Neodiprion lecontei: one gene and its partners. The protein of the gene in region 2 interacts with the protein of the main gene of each other region in a pairwise test. Links are inferred from orthologs where the notes say so. Each region holds a gene or a part of one and is shown on either strand. Other genes may lie near its edges.

Region 1 (4,789 bases), about 37 Mb from region 2:
TGGAGGAAGAGATCTGCGGAAAGAGAACAAGGAAAAGAGACATTGACCTGGGTTCACTCGGTTGGCAAGACACATCGTAGGTATTACAAGGACTCGTCAGCGATCGTCCGATCTCGTCTTTTTCCCCTCCCGATCCATACAATTCGAGTTACACGATCTTCTTCTCCCTGCAGCCTCGGAACTGGTCTCGGACCCAACAGGTTTCACCTCCGCAGGTTTCGTTTGGCCTACTCCGAAAATCGGTAACAACTCACGCGGGGCGGGGGGGGGGGGGGGGGGGGGGGGCCGGGCACGGGGACCCGTCGGTGCAGGTAGAGGAGGACGTGGATCGACCGGGAATCAGGTATGCACCTGCGGCCCGCCGGTCGGGACAATGAGGAAGGAAGGCGAGGAGGATATTGACTGCCGGTGAAGATCGGCTGATGCGGAGGGAAAGAGAGAGGGAGAGACGAGATCGACGAGGAGCCTAGGATCGCGGTGCGAACTGTTAAATGCTACCGATCGAGGAAGAGAGAACGAGAAAAAGATCGGAGGGGGACCGAGTGGCGGGTGGTGTTGCAGCACCATAGATTATACAAAGCCGCGTGCGAGCGAGGAGCAGGTTAGGCCGGTCTAACCTGATTCCGAAAGGGACCCTGCGTCAGGTTGTGGGCCCACCTCTTGCGCCTGTTTGTATTTCAAGTATAGGTAACGGAGCTCAGGTACGCCCTCGCCACCGCGACCGCGACCGCGGCCGACGTCGTTGCCTCTCAACCAGCGGCAGCTCAACAAACGGAGGATGGACAGTGTGCCGAAGAACCAGAAGCTCCGGACTTGCCCGCTCGCGTTTACCAACAGTGCAGTGTCACCAATTGCTCCTGGTACCACCGAGTGTCGGACCCTCCCCGCGTAAAACGACTACCGCACAGTGCCAAAAAGTTTGCAAGCATCCTTCGGACCTGACTTTTCTACCTCTTGCGATTTACCGTCATATATATATATATATATATATATATATATATACATATATGTATGCATGTATACGTATATGTGTGTATAAACATACTACTGGTCGTCTAATTGCGCGCATGGAATTCGATCGATCTTCAGCCGTATCTGGTACGTTCGATTCTTCCTCGATGTTGTGCGATGGTAAAGGTGTCACGTGATCGGACCGAGGAACGGATAAAGAGACGCGGTGTATCCGAGTCCGGGATAATTAGCTGGTGATAGAGAGTTGGAATTTATTTGAAAAAATAAAAAATAAACGTACGTGACCGAGAGGCTGCAGGTATCAGTGTACGATGTTAGTATCTGGATACAAGGTGGAAAAGTAAAACTACGCATCATATTTTCGTAACATGCTATGGACAGAAACAATAATATCGTGTGATGTGAATCGAAGAGGGCGCTGGATCGTCGCTCCGTAAGTCCGCGGCTATACAATTACTGATCTTCGTTAAAATATTACCCACGCTAGTTTCAATGCGTCGCAGGATATATAATATAAAATAACAATGTACGGTATAAGGTGTAAAGGTACTCACTCGTTTGGGTTGCATTTAGTTAAGATCGAAGGTGTGATTCCTCTCGGCTGGGATGCTGATGCAGACGGGAGGCTGCATGTTCGTGGGATAGGTGAACTACAAACTACCGGCTATCTCCCAGTCTCTGGATCACATCTCCGCGGTTTCTTCTCTCACGCTTAGCTATACCGGGCCCGTTCTTAATCGTTCATCCAGGCTGCTGCTGCTGCTGCCGCCGCACTGCACTCAAGTGCAATATCGTCGCGCACCTTTCGCGGCCCCGCGTTCAATTTCGCAGTAAGGCCCAATTATTATCAGCTGTCCGCGTTTCACGCGTGCGATAACTCTGCCGCACGCTTACTGGTATACATGTATATATGTATAATACGCGTATATTGCACGAGGCGTTGCAGATCCAACTTTCCTCTCTCTATCTATCTCTCTCTCTCTCTCTCTCTCTACGCATATGTCACTTTAACACAATTATTACTCCCGCCGTGAGATTGTTGTTTGTTTGTTTTTATTTTTTCTTGTTTCTTTACGTGTCAAAATTGAACGAGGTACAGTACTGCTGCGGCATAAAGAACAACAAGAACAATAAGAACATTATAGTTTAGTTCCTTTTTTTTTTCTTTTTTTGTTATCTCGTTTCTTTTATTATTATTATTGTTATTGTTATCTTTGTTAACGATGCTCTGTTGTTGTTGTCGTTGTTGTTGTTGTTGCTGTTGTCGTCGTCGTTACGACGATTATTCCCCTTCAAAATCAAACGACACTTTTAACACAGGTATAATTTATTCCTTTCTTCCACTGCAGGCATTACAACCGTATATGTATGTATATATATATATACAATAATGCACGCGCGGTTTTTATACGAATAACACACACACACACACGCGTAGCTATAGTCCACGTGTATGTATACCGCAGGAATTGCATGTACGAGATACGTCGATGCGTACAGCGTACGGTATAACGTAGACGAGGTGTTTATACATCGATTGATCGGCGACGCACCCGCGGACAAGTTTAGAGACAGTTATAAATGTACACAGATGACACAAGGCATTATACATACATACATATATATATATATGTATATACACACACACACAAGCACATACACATACACACGTACACACACACAGGCACGCGCGGTTGCACGCGTAGGATGGTCGATACAATGATGTTGTATATACGATCTGTGTATATTAGACGTGCAGGGAACCGCGTGATTAGGTATTTTCGCGTAGATCAAGTGTATACAACGCGTATATTTAATCCTGGCGCGTTTTTCGTAATGTTCGCCCGTTAACGGAGGAGCGAGTCAGACGATGATCCAGAGGCTGGATGAGTGGATGTGTGACTACCAGCGTCCTGCCGGACTGCGGAGGCCAGCCTGGGCTTGTATATTCCACACCAAAGTTGGGGCCGCTGATCGTGAGCTGGTGGCTACACAGGGAACACGTATAACCGAAGGAACGCTGCTCGGAGGACCTCGCCGGAGTCTCTTCTCTCGGGAGAGGCAATATGGCCGCCCAGCATCCCGGCCCTCTCCTCTCCTCTCCTCTCCACCTCCTCCCCCCCCCCCCCCCCCCCCCGCCCGCTACCGCCACCCCGCGACTCGCTCCTCTCGCTCCGCCGCCGCCGCCGCCGCCCTCCTTCCTACCTCTAGGCATTAATCCCGTCGCGGTGTTTCTCCCACTCACCCCTCCGCGCAGGTCGAGAAGGAGAAAGAGAGAAAAAGAGGAAAACAGAGAGAGAGGGAGAACGGAGAGTGAGAGAGAATCGGGCCCGGAGGCTGCGGCGGAGACGAGAATCGACGCGCTGCAACAGCAGCGGCAGCGGCAGCGTTCAGGTAGCCCGGCAGCCGCGCCCGACGAGGAGGAGAGGAACTCGGAGGAGTGCGTGCGATGGGCAGAACGGAGTGGTGGGAGAGACGGAGGTTCACGCGTTCACCAATACAGAGAGCTGCGGATCCCCGTGAGCCGCAGGACGAAAACGCTGAGGTCGGGCTTGAAGCAGGCGGTGGACGGCGGTCGTGAAACGGCGCAAGATATGACGGGTACGAAACGCCTGCGTGCGATGCATGCCGCCGCGGTGCGGATATCGAGGAGGAAACTGGTAAGGATATCCAAAGACGCGGGCGTCGAGAGTCGTCGAGCTAACGAACGAACGCGGTCGGTCCGCTCTGTTCGTTGAAGGAGGAGGAGGAGGAGGAGGAGGAGAGAAAGAGAGAGAGAGAGAGAGGGAGAGGGAGAGAAGACAACCGACCGCCGCGGGGACCAAAGGGGCATTATTTTATTGTATCCTCCGTCTCTCATCTCGGCACCGCGGCTCACATCTCTTGACGAGGATAACCGCGTGGTACAGCTCCGCCGACCGTAGACGAAGATACCTCGAATCCATGTGCGTTACAATACGCACCTATACGCGTGTATTACACATCGTTACTACAGACACACACACGCGCGCACGCTAGCGCGCGCGGGCGGTAGAAATTTTCTTCCTTGCGCGCGAGACGTTCACCGTATAGCAGCTATATAGTGGGTGGGGTGAGAGGCGGAGTGGGGGGATAAAAAGGCGGGGGAGACGGCGGCGGGACGGGGGCGATAGGGAGGGGGGGGGAAGGGTTATCGAAAGAGTAAAAATAAGAACGCACGACGTCGGACAAAATTAAAAGACGAAGCGAGATGTATAACCTAATACGCGCGCAACCGTGCCTGGCGACTGTGTGTGCGTGTAATACGTATACATGTATAATATAAAAAAGTAAACGATAAGAGGTATACGGTATACCTATATATGTATATATATGTATATATATATATATACACGTGTACGTGTAATATTAAAACAGAAATAAAATTGAATAAGAGAAACAAGAACGACGCGATGGAAGGAAAGAGAAAAAAAAAAATATACAAATAAAAACACTTTTACACATAGGTGCGCACCCAAGGGGTAGAGAGGATATAGAGATAAATACCGGAGGCTGCAGAGTAGGTATACAGCTCCTCCGATCCGACGCTGCGGACTGTAACACAACTTCGTATCACACGTATATCTATAATACCTACGTAAACGCTGTATAGGTACGCGATATTGTAGATGTGTTGTAATTCGCGTAGAATTGTATATTCCATTTGTATAGAAAATTTTCAATTGCACGCGTATACAACAATCGGTATATTTGTACATATGTACATGTAGTTCAACTACAATCGCGAACAATTTGCTTGTGAGGTTATACGCTGCACGTGTGTGTAACCTATCGCACA
Region 2 (7,839 bases):
AAATACTTACATGCTATATTAAATGGCAGGTTTATATATTTTGAAGTTAAATGCAAATTCTTCTGACCATCTTTTTTCAGATATGTAATAATAATAAGAGAGTTATAATAATGTTGATATACGTTGACAGTAAAATTATACACAAACAGCTATTTTATGTAGTAAAATAATAATTTATCAGCTAAAAGAAACATCGATTGGTTCAGAATTATAAAAACTATGACTTGGAAAAATGTTCAAAGTTCAATCTATAGTCCTCACTCTGGCATATATAAATTTTACATTCTTATTAAATTAAAATATCCTGTTTCTGTACTTACAAATGCGAAACCTCAGTGTATACTCAATATTACCGGTATTTTGTAATCAATTAATCAGCTATTTACATTAATCACGCGAAATTATAGCAAACGTAATCTGGGATATGCTTTTATTATTACCTTATTAAGTTTTTGGAGTAATTAGCTGATTTTAAAATAGCTATATGTTGCTGATGTTAAATTCATTTTGTACTTGATGTATTCCGTCGCAAAATCATCTCATCGATTATATCAACAGCTTTAGTTTCATTTAATTCAACCAATAACGTTCGTAATTTTTTGATCGAAACTTCAGCTTGTATCTAAAAAAATAATACAAGATACAGCTTATTAAATTTTTGCATATAATTCGTATGACAAAACCAACGATAAATAAAGTCATCGAAGTACTTACGTCTAAGTAGTTTAATAACATCCGCGATGGACTGACGGGGCCTGAAGTTTCGAGCGAAGACTGCAGAAAATCATATCCCAAAGATGTGACGATTTTTTCCCATGCCTTCGATTCGTCGAGTATGGGAACTAGAAGAGTCATAGCTTTTTCGTCCAGCAAAGTACCGTCACTTTCCTCGGGTACGTCCTCGATTTCTTGTTTTATTATCGTATTAGTCGCAGAAAGCAATTGTAAAATCTGTAATTATTTCCGTGGCATTGAGACCTTAGTGCGTAGCCATACACGTACAAAAGCGTACGATTTTTCAAGGAACCCAATTTACCTCAGGTTTGTTTGATGCGAGGTCAAACGACGTTTGACCACTTTCCTGGGCATCTTCATCATCGGATATCGCTTCATCTTTTATAGTTGTTGTTTGCAACTCCTATGAATTTAATAACAGGACGAAATGAAATTTTTTTGTTTTAATTATCAGTACAATTATCTACGAGTCTTCGCGGCAGTCGAAGGAACAGGATAATCTCTTTGATCTTAACAGCTTTGTTGATCGCAAAAGATTTCTAGAAAATAAAAAAACTCACTTTCGACGAATCGCGATTATTATTAGGTATCGAGGGATTCGCCCCGTGATTCAACAGAAGCTTGCAGAGCTCCTCAGCTCGTTCGCCGGTGTTGACGACAGCACTGTGCAGCGCGGTGTTTCCACTGAAATTCCGCTTATTTACGTCGATTGTCGTCTGTGGAGAATTGACATACAAAGTGCTCAGAAAAAGTATAAAATAGAGTTTCAACGATTATTTTGATTTCACAATATAAATTAACACTACCTACCTTTTCTAACAGGAATTCAACGATTTCTTTGTGGCCACCTTCGACGGCGATGTGGAGTGCTGTACGCCCGTAAGACATATCGGTACTGTTAACATCAACGCCAGCTTTGACAAGAGACTTGACAGCGTGTAGCGATCCGGCTTCAGCAGCCAGATGAAGAGCGGTCCAGCCAGTATCATCTCGTGTTTCGACGCTTATACTTCCTCCTTCTAATAGTGCGTCCACACAGTGACCCGCCTCTGGGACTGTTTGGGACACAAATAATCGATTAGTATGCAAACAATTAGTTTATTCGTTGGGAATAAATTATTTCATCAATTCACGCACTTTTGACCGCCTTGTGAAGCGGTGAAAAACCGTGATCATCGCACGCGCTTGCATCCGCCCCAATCAAGAGCAGAGCCTTTGTTACTGCAGGTTGGTTTTGTTCTACGGCGTAATGTAAGCATGTCTAAAATATAGAGCAATATTAGTGAATTGAAAATATTACATTTCCGCGGGTTAATCGTAATAAAACTTACACGGCCAGAACTTGTTTGAGAGTCGACAATTTGCTTGAAATCCGGGTACTTTGCAAGTAACATTAGAATATATTTAACTAAATTCATTTGTCCGTGTCTTAGCGCGGAATGGAGAGGAGAATCTCCATAGACTGTGCGCTCTTTGAGCAACGCTAGTATGCGTTCCTTTCCATTTGGATCATTTTTCTGAAGTATAATTCGAATTTGTTTTACAATATTCTCCGCAAACGAAGCCGTTTCCTGAAAACATGTAAACATTATACAATTGTTTCTTCTTTGTCATTTTGATACGACTAATTAAATGTTGCTTACTTTTTTTTTCAAAGGCCCATCTAATCTCAGTTCTTCATTATCATTTACTTCCTTTGGCAGTAAATTGATGTACTCTGGGGATAAACAAAGATTTACACATTTTGTATATAACTCATCATCTATTCACCGTCTATACTGATGGAAAAATTTTTGAAACATGCGAGCATAACAAACACGTGTCTCGGTGTTTAAGTGCTCACCTTCTAAGTCCAGATTTTCAGAGTATTCCCGAAACTCGTTTGATGTACAATGCTCACTCAACAATTTGTTGATTTCACTTGAATTATTTACGTTGAAAATGGATGTGCCTTCATCCGATTGCATGAGATTGATTGCGATAGGAGTTTGTAATTCAGTACTTTCGCAAGACATGCGCGGTCTCTTTCTACCTGTTCATAAATCAGGACATGTCAATGTTTTTGAATGAGAATTGGAAGCGAATATATTTGATGATAGTACATGTTGCAAATACGCCTTACCGATGCGGTTATTGGGTTTATAAGTGAACTGTAATGGATCGCTAGACTCTCCGTCAGTCGGTCTGCATAACTTTATAAAAACCTCTTTTGGTTCAGTTATATCTTTGTCTTTATACGGTGGCGTTCTGAAACACAAGTGATATATTTACAAAACGAATATAAACCGACCCTTAATTCTCTGACAGCAGTTCAGGGTGTTTTTTACTGTTACCCGTACATAAGACAGGTCCGCATATAAGACGAGGACAATTTTGGTGGGTGCTGTCAATGATTAAAAAAAACCTCGGCTTATATTTGGGACAATACGATAATATTCTGTCAATTTTTAATTTATAGTAATTGAATGTTCAAACTGACCGAAACACTATCGCGTATTGATGATGAACATCTAACTCTGTGAAGTGGCCTAAAGCGCTCCAAATTTCTACATTGTTTTCATCCATTTCAAAGAATTTGATTACGATGTTTTCTGTAACATAAGAATGAGAATCTGAATACATATGGGACAATAATATTAATTCGATTAATCTTTCAACAGAGAACTTAATTCACTTCCAATTCAATATTATCTTTATTAAAACTACAATACGAGTTGTATAAACAACGATACTCACTTTTTCCCACTTTTTCTACCAGCATGAAAACTTCCTCGTTACCATCACAAGATCCTGCAGTTTTGTCGATTCTACATATCTTGAGCTCTCCCGTAAGGGCACTTTCTGTAATAAAAAGAACAAAAAATGGCAATAAAAAAATTCTGGTACCCAAATGATAGATGAATGGTCACTTCTACTCACTGAGATTATTAATCGGGTTCGAATACACTGGTTCTGTGATGGGACAAAGTACGCCATTGGCATTTGGGGTAAATGCTTGAAAGCATAATGCGACACTGTTCAGACTCATCCATTTTTGAGCAGCTTCTGCTTCCATTTTAATCTTTAACAGAAATTTTGCGTTCAAAGTTGAGTAAGCTAATTGAACGAAATAATTTGATATGCATAATAACATTGTATAATGTACTGGCAATGTATTATTATACAATATTTAATTTATTACCGTTGCTTCATCGCGGATGGTCAACGATGTGACATTAACATTTTTGCGTTTTGCTTCTTCTAAAGCCGTAATTCTTTTCTTTTTAACAAGCTCATCTTTTATGTGCTTTTTAGCAGTGTGGATGATCCCCATTCCGTGGAACCTAGATACAAGCTTAAGTTTTATGAATACATACTCCAACAATAATGAAGATAAATATTGTTGTCTTATGAATAAAAAATTAGACTGTTCACTTACGAGACTGTAAAACCTTGTTCGGGTGAAACCTTTTGCTCGTGCGGATCATCTTCGTCTGAATTTCCAACACGGCGTACCAGACGATGAGCATGTGGTCCCCTACGATCTGGATCTGCTGTTACAAGCGTACAGCGAATGACGGCGCTGCCTGGATAATTTTTCAGCTGGAACACCAGTGAAATAGTTATAATTATTTTATGACTAAACGAAGATAGCAAAAACGATGAATTGGAATATTTCAACAGGCAGATTCAATGAAACTCTGTTATTTTGTTTATACCTCAACAGTAGGTGCTTGCTTCTTGCGGCTGTTTGAGCTGTTGGCGCCAGCAAGACTCCCGTGGGTTCCCATCATCTCTGATTTGTATCGGAACCGAAACTTGTCTACTGGTTGTTCAATAATTTTTATATACCGGTCTTCCAACACTGCGAAGGTACAAGTACCGTAATATCATCACATTTGAATAAAACATTATGAAATTAATTTATTGAATAACCAAAAAGATGTACATACTCGTGCCAGTTACATTACTCAGTGTATAGTATGACATTGTGTGGTTTGGCGATTGTGATATCGACATCGGTGACGGAGTGCTGCTGGTCATTTGTGAATCCAGTGAGCTGTTGCTCGGACTCAACAGGCTGAGATTATTCATCATAACTGCACAAAGACATGTCAAATAATTCCACAATTTCTCCATTAAGATATTATTCGACTTGTTACAAGTGAACAGGCCATTTCTTTCGAATTGTCATAAACAAATCAGTTAGTGTAAACTTGTATACACGATATATTGAAATATCAGCGTTGCACTGATTGCTAAGGGAGATCGAAGTACACTTTGTCTATTCAGTTCAGATGTACGGCAACTGGTAAAATTAAAAGGTATCATAGGTAATTGTGGTTTTATAATATTGAACTACCGGAATCATGGATCTCGGTATATGTTATTGCGACACCTCTTATTACTGAAATAATGAATCACAGCTCTGTGCCTAAATCAAATAAAGAAACTGTACAATTTGTATTCTGATAAATTCCACGTTGGTAACCCAGAAACTATTTAGAGTTTGTTAGCATGATTATATACACCAGTGCGCGAATGAATATGTCGTACGTATTTCGGTAGTCAAAAAGTGGTTTATGTGTACATGGGAAGTTACAAGTGCATAATTTTATCATTAGTGCAAATCGAACTGAAGTCATCTCCGTTCTAAATTTCTGCAGTATATCACAGCAGAAATATTTAAGTAACACAATATGTACCATTGACTGAAAACATAGCGGAGGTTTCAGCATCAATTTGAACAAACGGAAGCGAAATTGGAGAAATGATATGAATAAAGAGAATGAAATTAGGAAATGGTTGAAAGATTGTACCCAGTAGCATCCTGGAAATATGATACACAATCTCAAAAAGAAATTTCGTCTAATTACCATCAGGAAACGGATAAATCTGATCCTCCTGTTGATTATAGTTCTGGAAGACGTCCAAGTTTTCGTAAACTTGCGGCATGTTTATTTGGTACTGTTTTTCTTTTTGGTTAATCGTAATTGCTACGCGAACGCGGCGCCGATTGCACTATAATCAAAATAAACTGCGTCGTTTATACCTTAGTTTATACGTGGCACAAAAAAGACGTGAACTATTCTCCACGCGCATAAGCGCAACGTAGAGACGAAACTAGCGCGGTGATTATTTTTAAGGAGAGAAACAAGGACCGTTTCGATTTCAACTTTACAGACCTGGATGTGTTACTCACCGTTTATCAACTAACTAATACTTTTCGCATACGTCAACGACATAACCTTGATGGATGCACTCCGGGTTCTTCCCCGAGGATACGGTCCAATCAGCTCCAATCATTCCTCCCCGCCCTGGTCACGTGGTCCGGTCAACGATTTCCGAGAAGGATGGGGGAATTCCCCCGTCCTTGTTGTTCACGCAGCCAGGCGCGCGCACGTGACGCGTGTTCAAACTTAGTCGCGGAGCGTGCGAAAAATTATACATTGAATAAGATATGTAAACGAGGTTAAAGCATAAATTGATGAATTGTTTCACTATACTGCTATTTGCATGCTTATTAATCCAGCTGTATTTATATATCAACAAGTAATAATATGTATATATGGTTTGCAGTAGGCCAGCACAGGTTTCCAATTGATGAGTAATTTTATTACACGAATGAAACGTCGCTAACGAAATTGAATGATTACGATATTAACTAGATTTGTATGCCGTTGACGTTGAAAAGAATTTAATTTCAAAACCGAAAAGCAGGCAACCCGCATCCCTTACCAAGAGTGACCACTAATTAGTGGTGTAGATGTCAAACATCATACAACGTCGGTTTATGTACAATAGATTTTTTACAATTTCGTTTTCATCATAATTTATTTGAATTTATTGCGTATCAGTTGAACTTCAGAAGAGATTTCATACCCAATGCGCACGATAATCCTGATGGGCCACTAGGCGCCAAAAATAATGAGCTGTAATGATATTTCACAGACTTGAGCATGTCGATTGATATGAATTTTCTGTACGGTTCTGCGAGGAATTCATTCCCAGCATTTTCAGCCGTGTAGAAATTGATTATTGGAAGTAGGAGGAAAGAAAAATACATGCTAAAGTGTCAGAAACCGTTGCGTTCGATTTTGGATAGAAAATTTGTTTGCAACCGACTTTTAGTAAGGGTGCCTCATTACTGTGATTCCTACAATCAGTCGGTTCGACTAGCCCTAATGAGAGGATTATATATTACCCTATTGGCCAAATTTGAGGTTTCCAGTTTATCCCCTCCCTGGGACTCCGCCAATGACAAGATGCTGGGCTAACCCAGGTCTAAAATCAGATGCGTATGTACTTGTTGAGTAGTCGGTACCCGAGAGCCGAGGTTGCCAGTTTTTGTGTCAACAGTTATGGCGACGATTGTGTCCCCGATCGTGTGAAAATAAACTTACCGCTCAATTTTGGGGCTTTATTTCTTTTGCAATAATCATTGTATCTCTCTTGTACGTCTTTTGACATGATCGGCGAATGATAATTGTATATTTTTAATAATTCGCTACGTATGAACAAAATCACCCACACGCATCTCTAGATAATTACTATAAAAACACCCCCCGGTCGAAAAATGTCAAAGGTACTTTATCCTTGTAATCACATGTTTACAAACAGATACAACATACTGTGTGAATTTAATTTCCATACTGTTTCAAAGGTGACACACTTGTTGGTGGAATAAACCTGTATCATACATTGCTATTCTTGAAATTCATTCTGAGCATAATTCGTCAACCAATTTCTCAAGGATTACTGAGTTTAATCAATCATGTAGATGTAATGAGATTCTTAAATTAATTGTGAACAAGGCAAAAATTATAAAGATTGATAAAGAACCATCCCTATCAGTGCAAAATAAGATGTAGAATCATTGTTATTAGTACTTCCATATTATTGCCATGTGTATAAACCAATTCGTGTACAAAGTATTCAAAATCTGTTTCTGCTGGAAAAATAACTGTACATTATGCAACAAGGGAATAAAGTCGAACTCGCTTCGCTGAGGCGATAAGCCCACCCGCGCGGATAACCGATTTTTATCCCTGTGTTATTGACTTGAGAAATGGGACTCGATATTTTTCGCAATATTGTCTTTAGAATTCAGATACAGCTATTATT
Region 3 (6,793 bases), on a different chromosome or scaffold from region 2:
AGTCTCGACGGTGCATCATTCTTTCGTAGCGGAATTCAGGAATGTTACTCGTATTCCAAAAATCATCAAAAACGTGATTTTTTTAAACATTTTACTATTTCAACATTTCTCGCATCTCAGGGGCCAAAAAGTGCATGGTTGAGATACTTTCCGCAATTCCGGCAAGAATGAGAAATAAAATGAGACATCGCAAGACTGCTTTCATGCAATATTAAGGCCGCTCAACGAAAACTAGGATTTACGGTAATTTTGTAGATAAAAGACGCTCTCATGCTGTGCTGGGGCGACCATACCAACCAAGGAACTTCGCGCCCAGCTGATCGCTAGAGCATTTTTTATTTACGAAATTATTTGTATCCCTAGTTTTCGTATAGCGACTTCAATATTACATGAAAACAGTCTCACGATGGCTTATTTTAGTCCTCATCCTTTCTAGAATTGCGGAAGGTATCTCAACTGTGCACTTATTGGCCCTTGAAATGCGGGAACTGTTTAAATAGTAACGTGTTTCAAAAAACCACTCATCTATTTAATGCTTTTCAAGATATGAGTAACATTTTTGAATTCCGCCATGAAAGAGCGATGCATCGTCGAAACTTCAAGCCTTTCCGTTCATTTGTTGATTTAATATTGGAAAAAAAGGGATGAGTTTGCTTGGTCGGTAAGGGTAGGCTGTCACAGGACCTTAAATTAAAGATTGAAATGATTTTTTGTAACAATACAGTTCCTCACAGGCCTTTGTAAAACAATAAATGATCTTCAAATTTATCACATGCAAATCATTTTATATTTTAAATATGTCGTACGGAAACTTATATTGATTTTGTTCCTGTAGGGCTGAATTTGCACAAGGTTGTTAAAGAAATTTTTATCATGAAGATACGTACAATTCTACGGCCTAGACTATCAACAGACCGTATGGCCTAATGGATAAGGCGTCGGACTTCGGATCCGAAGATTGCAGGTTCGAGTCCTGTTACGGTCGAGGCAAGTTTTTTAGTTCTTCAAACAGTGTTTTCACACAAGTAAATTGTGCAGCACATTCGAAAAATTCAGATTATCGTTTCAAAATCGATCCTGCAAATCCTAAAAGATTCGAAGAAGTTTGTTTTGCAAATCGATGAAAATTCAAATTATCCTTGAGCGGATGTCAATTTATCGCGCATTTTTTCAGCGTTCTATTTTCATTTTTAACTCTGCCCAGTTTCGAAATCTATTCTTTGCATTTGCAAGCATCATTCTCTGCAGTCAGTTGGTCGAGATATGATTTTTTGCCATTCCGTGCATCTTTAACGCGTGCGTGCAATTTGCGTCAGTCACGTGCGACAGCTGACAGCTGCATCTGCATACCACGTGACTATTGCCGGCGCTGCCGTAGGCTGAATATCGAATGAACCGTTTCGATCGGCCACCCCTGCCCTTCCTTATCGATGCAGCTGCGTCGTGACGCACGATGCAACGGCTCGACCAATGAGAAAACGCGGAGAGATGACCAATGGCAGACTAGGCTAGGTAAACGTTATGGAAAATGTTCAAGTCGCTGCGGCTGACGAAGTGACGACGGAGGAGGCCATATTGTTTTACTGCAGTGTTTGTTTTGGTGCTGCGGTGGCCAGTCTTAAAATCCAGTTGAATCAGCCTGGAAACTTGTCGAAAGTCTTCGACGAGACCGCTAAACGAAAAGGGAATACTGTGCAATTTGTAGTACCGATATATTTTCGGGAAATAAAACGCCTTTTGCGGTTCCTCGGCGATTTTTTGGTGTCAGTCGCGTACGAGACTGTGAAGAGTAAAAATGGCCTGCGCCACCCTGAAGCGATCACTCGAGTTCGACCCCGTTCACAGCCACGTAAGGCCTTCGAAGAGGCGAAGATGCGTACCGATGTGCATGTCGCCAAACACACCGCCGGCGAGGAATCAGAACCCATCAGCTTTCGGCGAAGTTACACAAAAATTGACGCCTGGTAATTATATTCGGCCATTTTTTTTTTTATCACGGGGTGTTAAAGGGGGAAGCTAGCTGCAAACGTAGATGTATAGCGATTTAAAACCCGTATATACTATGGCCGGAGGCGTGAAGTGGGGTGAGGGGAGCGCAAATCATATGGAGATACCGACGTAACGGTCGCTGCTGATTTTCACTATTTTTACAAACAGCTTTCAAACTGGTTTTCCTCCACTCATCGCGCAATTTGAAATATACGTTAGAATGACCGTTTTTCTTCACAAAGTTTTTTCTCATTCGACAATTCCCCTCATCACCTCGGTGTTCAAACGCGCTTCTATGTCACTAAAAAAAAATTCCCCATTGTGTGAGTTTTGCGTACCCAGGCATTATTTCATTCAATAATGTCGAAGTTCGAAACGGGAGAAAAAGGACCAAGCCGAATCGTATGTTTGTAATCTTCATTTACGTATTCATCAGACATAATATTAGCATTTCCATGCTCAGTCTGATGCGTTACCACGAATCTATTGAAAATACCCATCAAAATTCGACCACCGTAAAGGCAGACTATTGCAACTTTACTATTTGCATAACTGTGAAAATTTTGAATGAATGCATGGAGTTTGTTACTCAACTTGTACATTTACATGAGAACTAAGCCTTCTTACTAACCTCTTTCAGCCATTACCAATAACTTGGAAATGATGTTGCAAAGACCTAATATTGTTTCGGTTTTCTTATTTATTATTTTCAAGTAATTTCACAATCCGTTATTTGAACATCATCAATCAAAACAATGCCTGGTTGCAATTGTGATTGCGATCCGTCAGGCTTGGTTATTCAGTCTAAGAAACTGAGGTCAGGTATCTGAATTGTTTACACCAATGCCGTAAAATGTTTTCATAGAAAAAATGGCTGCCAATATTAGAGAAGAGATCCGCAGGCTTCACCGGCGCAAGCAGCTGCATTTCAACCCGCAAAACAACAATGGTGGAGATTCTTCAGATACTGAAGGTCCAGCCAGTCCATCGACTAGTGGGCCTAGTGCTTACAGTCATAGCCCAAGCGGCAAAGAAAAACCACTGTTCACATTTAGACAGGTGGGTGTATTTTCAAAATAAAGAATGAATGGATATCGACATAATTGTGAGATCGTTTATTTGCTACAAATAATGGTTAACCAACTTGTGTTTAGGTGGGATTGATCTGCGAGCGGATGCTGAAGGAACAGGAGACGCAGATCCGAGAAGAATATGACCAGATTCTCAACATGAAGCTCTCCGAGCAGTATGACGCATTCGTTAAGTTCACCTATGATCAGATTCAGAAGAGATTTGAATCTGCGGCTGCACCGAGTTGTGAGTTATTGAATACTTGGAAACTTGTAAACTTGTAAACTCCTGATTTCAAGACTGGTGACTCACATGCATTGTGTTTTTTCTAATGTTTGATAAATTTGTAGATTTGTCCTAAAGGAGATTTGCCACTTCCACGGATGTGTTTCTTCAAAGAACGTTAGGTAAGTATCCTAGCATGTATATTCTGTAAAGTTGAATCGTGACTTTACATGATAATCGTCTAGGTAATGCGGCGAATGATTCAATTGTTATTGTCAAAAGATACTCTAGTGGTTTTCTCATTACAGATTTCTATGATATAAGTGAGAAAATAATTTTGCTTGGAGTTATGAGGGAAGAAATGCGCGGTGATGTTACCTCGCTGTGGAGACATGGGTTGATTAAATTTGAAAAGTAATTTCATTCGAAGTATAAAATAAACAGATGCAACAAAAAACATAATTAAATAATTTAACAAAAATATCAATAAATAAAAACATTTCAAAAAAGGTAATGAGGTGTGCGTATATATATATATATGTGTGTGTGTACCCTGACATATATGTATATATATGCGTATATAGGAAAGTAAGTTATAGAAGTAGGCTCACTTGCGGAGAGCGACCAGACTAAAAAAAATCGACAACGTATACTACTAAATTAACCATATTTGTACCATCCGGTTTTCAAAGTACGCTGTTATCAGGGAATCAAATAGAAAATTTACAAAGCTAAAGTAGCACAAGTATAAAAGTATTTGTAAATAAATTGCATACATGTGATCTGGTATTGATACTACATACACCGTGGTGGTGTGAATTTCCTACTCTTCGAATTTCCTGAAACCAATTTTTGCAAATCAACTGTAAAGCCTCTCGATAAGGATCTGATTACATACGATCGATTGTAACATCAATTTCTCCCAACTGATCCACAACAATTAGTAACGTACGGAATAAGATTGGTGGTGGTCAGAGTTACTTTGAATATCGATCAATGATGTGAAATCTAAGGTGTAACGTGATTTATTGATTTCGTCAGTCCCGATGAAATTTCTCTTGCAACAATTGATTATGTTATAATCATTTTCTAATATTTTTATTTCTCTACTCTCGCAATTATAATAACAAGTAAAATCTGCATATTTGGATGGTGATATATAGGTATATACGTTTTTGTAATGCTATGTTATTAGGTCAATCTCAAAATTATAAAGAATGTATTTTTTAACGAATATATTCCCTTATTTCGGGGTATTGCATTCATACTTTTATTAGAGCTTTTAATTTGTCATCTTGACCTTTCCCTCTTTAAACAAAAGTTTTCTGCTGGTAGATAAATTTTTCATCCTTGCTTTATTTTTTCTCTTTGATTTTTCCTTCTTATTGAAATGTAGCATTTATAAGTGTATTCTTAAATTATACGCGTTTGAAGAAGTAGAAAATTTATAAAAAGAACTGTGCACCATGCTAGGGCGAAAATTCAAAAAGAACTGATACTGTTTTCACATTATTGTCATTATTATTATTATTATTATTATTACTACTATTATTGTTGTTGTTATAATTTTTTCCCTGACAACAGCAACTTGCCATAGCATAATGAAATTAAATGCAGAATAATGAATATACATACTATTACCCATACATTTACTGTGCCTATTATTAGACATATTTATTACAATTACCCAACACTGCTATAATTATTACTTATTACTATTCATCGTAATTAAAAAAAAAAGAAAAATAATATTGGAAAAAAAAATTATTTTTAGTTGATAATGATTCTACATATGCGATGTTCGTTTTTTTTCTTTTTTACGTATACATACTATTCATATATATAGGTATAAATTAGGCGCATAATTGTCTCAAGATGAATCCGATAATGATAGTTCGTCTTGGTTACCATATATATTTCTCTGCTATTCACGCCGTTCAACAATTGAACGAAAGATGAATTCTAAGTATCAAGGAAGAGACTTAGCAAAAGAGTATGAGGAGTTTATGAAAACAGTTATTTTTTTTTTGTTGAATGAAAATTTAAGGAGCCGTGCTTCGTTATTTGCCAAATTGAAATTCGTTAAGTTTTATTCGTTCGATCAACAGATACTTGAAACTAGTTGACTGGAGAACAAAAAGTAGTTAAATACAATTCGCCAATAATATTTGAATTTTGGGGCGTAGTGACGACCTTGTTATTCAATACCAGGCAAGAATGCCACATCTTCTGATCTTATTACTGTATTTAGTTCAAGTGATAGCATAGTAACTTTTGTTGAGCTAAGAAAAACTTGTGGAACGAGAAACACTGCGATCCTTTGAAAAACGACTCGTATTTATCGTAGTACAACAAGGGATTAAATACTTGTACAATTATCTTATTACTCCTGCAAGACTATGCTGAAAACCAGATAAACTGTCATAGCTATTGTAAAACCTTAGGTAATAAATGTAAATTAATGATTGTGTAAGTCTTGAAATCAACAAAAGTTATTGCGCGAACTGTACGTTATAATAATTTTAATATTAAGAAACGTAAATAAATAAAAAAATGGAAATTGTACGTAGTATTTCGTCAAGCAGCATAAATGTATCCTGATGACAAGGAAGAATAAGTTACAATATTGTGAAGAGAAAAAAAATTATGAATGATGTATAAATATGGAAGGGAAAAACAAAACGAAAAAAAAAAACAAAAAGAAATACAAATAAATTTAGTTAGTATATTGAATAATGAATAATACCTAATACTAATGATTAATAATGATTATATTAAGAAGCAACGATGAAGAAAACAGCTAAGGTAAATTCCTTGGGAGAAATCAGGGAAGATTTGATTTCAATGATTAAAAATACCTCCATATTAATATTATGTAAACACTTATTAATGAAATAAATATAAACCTTAAGACTGATCTTTATCTGACTATCTATAAATAATTCCACATCCACTTTTGCTATGCTTCTATTTGTATAAAAATTTTAGCCCGCTCTTGTAAAACGTTCCAACGCAAATAATCAATGTAGATCTAATTATCAATAGAAATTCGATTTCGAATCGTTTCACCCCTCTAAACACGGCTTGAAATACTGAAGTATGATCTTAATGAAAGTAGCTCTAGTTCTTAGTTCACTGAAGAGTACTTTAACTATTCTAAGATACTGTTGTCGCAGACTCTGAAGAATGGAGAAAGAAATTGTCATAGAATGGGATGGAAGACGTCACAAAGCGAGCCAATTTCTTGAAATTCCTATATTCCGATCCTGTTAAGAGACTTATTCAATAGTATAATCGCATTAGTCTGGATATGGCTTCGTAGTAAGAAGCCCCATTAGATCTATAAGAGTAGATGTACGTCAGAAGGCCTCCGTCACTTCTGGGCGGGAAACAACGCTCGGTTACACAGATTCTTTACAGTCCGACACTATCGGTCAAATGTTTCCTCTCTTGTTCTTGGCCTATGTCGTGGCCATCAAGGTTTTCAAGAAGACTACTCCAAATGGTG

What was found.
Region 1: the proteins of nuclear factor NF-kappa-B p105 subunit (region 2) and protein grainyhead interact in binary tests that used the Drosophila melanogaster proteins (3 or more experiments, as listed by UniProt). The link is inferred for Neodiprion lecontei from reciprocal best matches to the Drosophila melanogaster genes Rel and grh.
Region 3: the proteins of nuclear factor NF-kappa-B p105 subunit (region 2) and akirin-2 interact in binary tests that used the Drosophila melanogaster proteins (3 or more experiments, as listed by UniProt). The link is inferred for Neodiprion lecontei from reciprocal best matches to the Drosophila melanogaster genes Rel and akirin.

Annotation. Positions count from the first base shown.
Region 1 is NC_060260.1:39,038,062-39,042,850, forward strand, and holds the start of protein grainyhead, read right to left. Parts: upstream 3,031-4,789; 5' UTR 1,527-3,030; intron 14-1,526; 5' UTR 1-13. UniProt on the Drosophila melanogaster protein: Transcription factor that binds a CNS-specific regulatory element of the Dopa decarboxylase (Ddc) gene. Also interacts with sequences adjacent to other transcription units, including Ultrabithorax (Ubx) and engrailed (en).
Region 2 is NC_060260.1:2,031,212-2,039,050, forward strand, and holds the start of nuclear factor NF-kappa-B p105 subunit, read right to left. Parts: upstream 6,009-7,839; 5' UTR 5,918-6,008; intron 5,737-5,917; 5' UTR 5,671-5,736; coding exon 5,592-5,670; intron 4,815-5,591; coding exon 4,668-4,814; intron 4,580-4,667; coding exon 4,434-4,579; intron 4,318-4,433; coding exon 4,154-4,317; intron 4,059-4,153; coding exon 3,917-4,058; intron 3,797-3,916; coding exon 3,655-3,796; intron 3,577-3,654; coding exon 3,472-3,576; intron 3,327-3,471; coding exon 3,215-3,326; intron 2,983-3,214; coding exon 2,858-2,982; intron 2,768-2,857; coding exon 2,579-2,767; intron 2,453-2,578; coding exon 2,379-2,452; intron 2,307-2,378; coding exon 2,067-2,306; intron 1,997-2,066; coding exon 1,873-1,996; intron 1,791-1,872; coding exon 1,546-1,790; intron 1,452-1,545; coding exon 1,296-1,451; intron 1,139-1,295; coding exon 1,037-1,138; intron 952-1,036; coding exon 715-951; intron 623-714; coding exon 503-622; 3' UTR 1-502. Other genes in the region: protein BCL9 homolog, read left to right, coding at 7,292-7,300. UniProt on the Drosophila melanogaster protein: Transcription factor that plays a key role in the humoral immune response as part of the peptidoglycan recognition protein (IMD) signaling pathway.
Region 3 is NC_060263.1:15,142,435-15,149,227, reverse strand, and holds akirin-2, read left to right. Parts: upstream 1-1,544; 5' UTR 1,545-1,795; coding exon 1,796-1,964; intron 1,965-2,854; coding exon 2,855-3,048; intron 3,049-3,143; coding exon 3,144-3,306; intron 3,307-3,410; coding exon 3,411-3,421; 3' UTR 3,422-3,467; intron 3,468-3,593; 3' UTR 3,594-6,208; downstream 6,209-6,793. Other genes in the region: arrestin homolog, read left to right, coding at 6,724-6,790. UniProt on the Drosophila melanogaster protein: Molecular adapter that acts as a bridge between a variety of multiprotein complexes, and which is required for embryonic development and for normal innate immune response.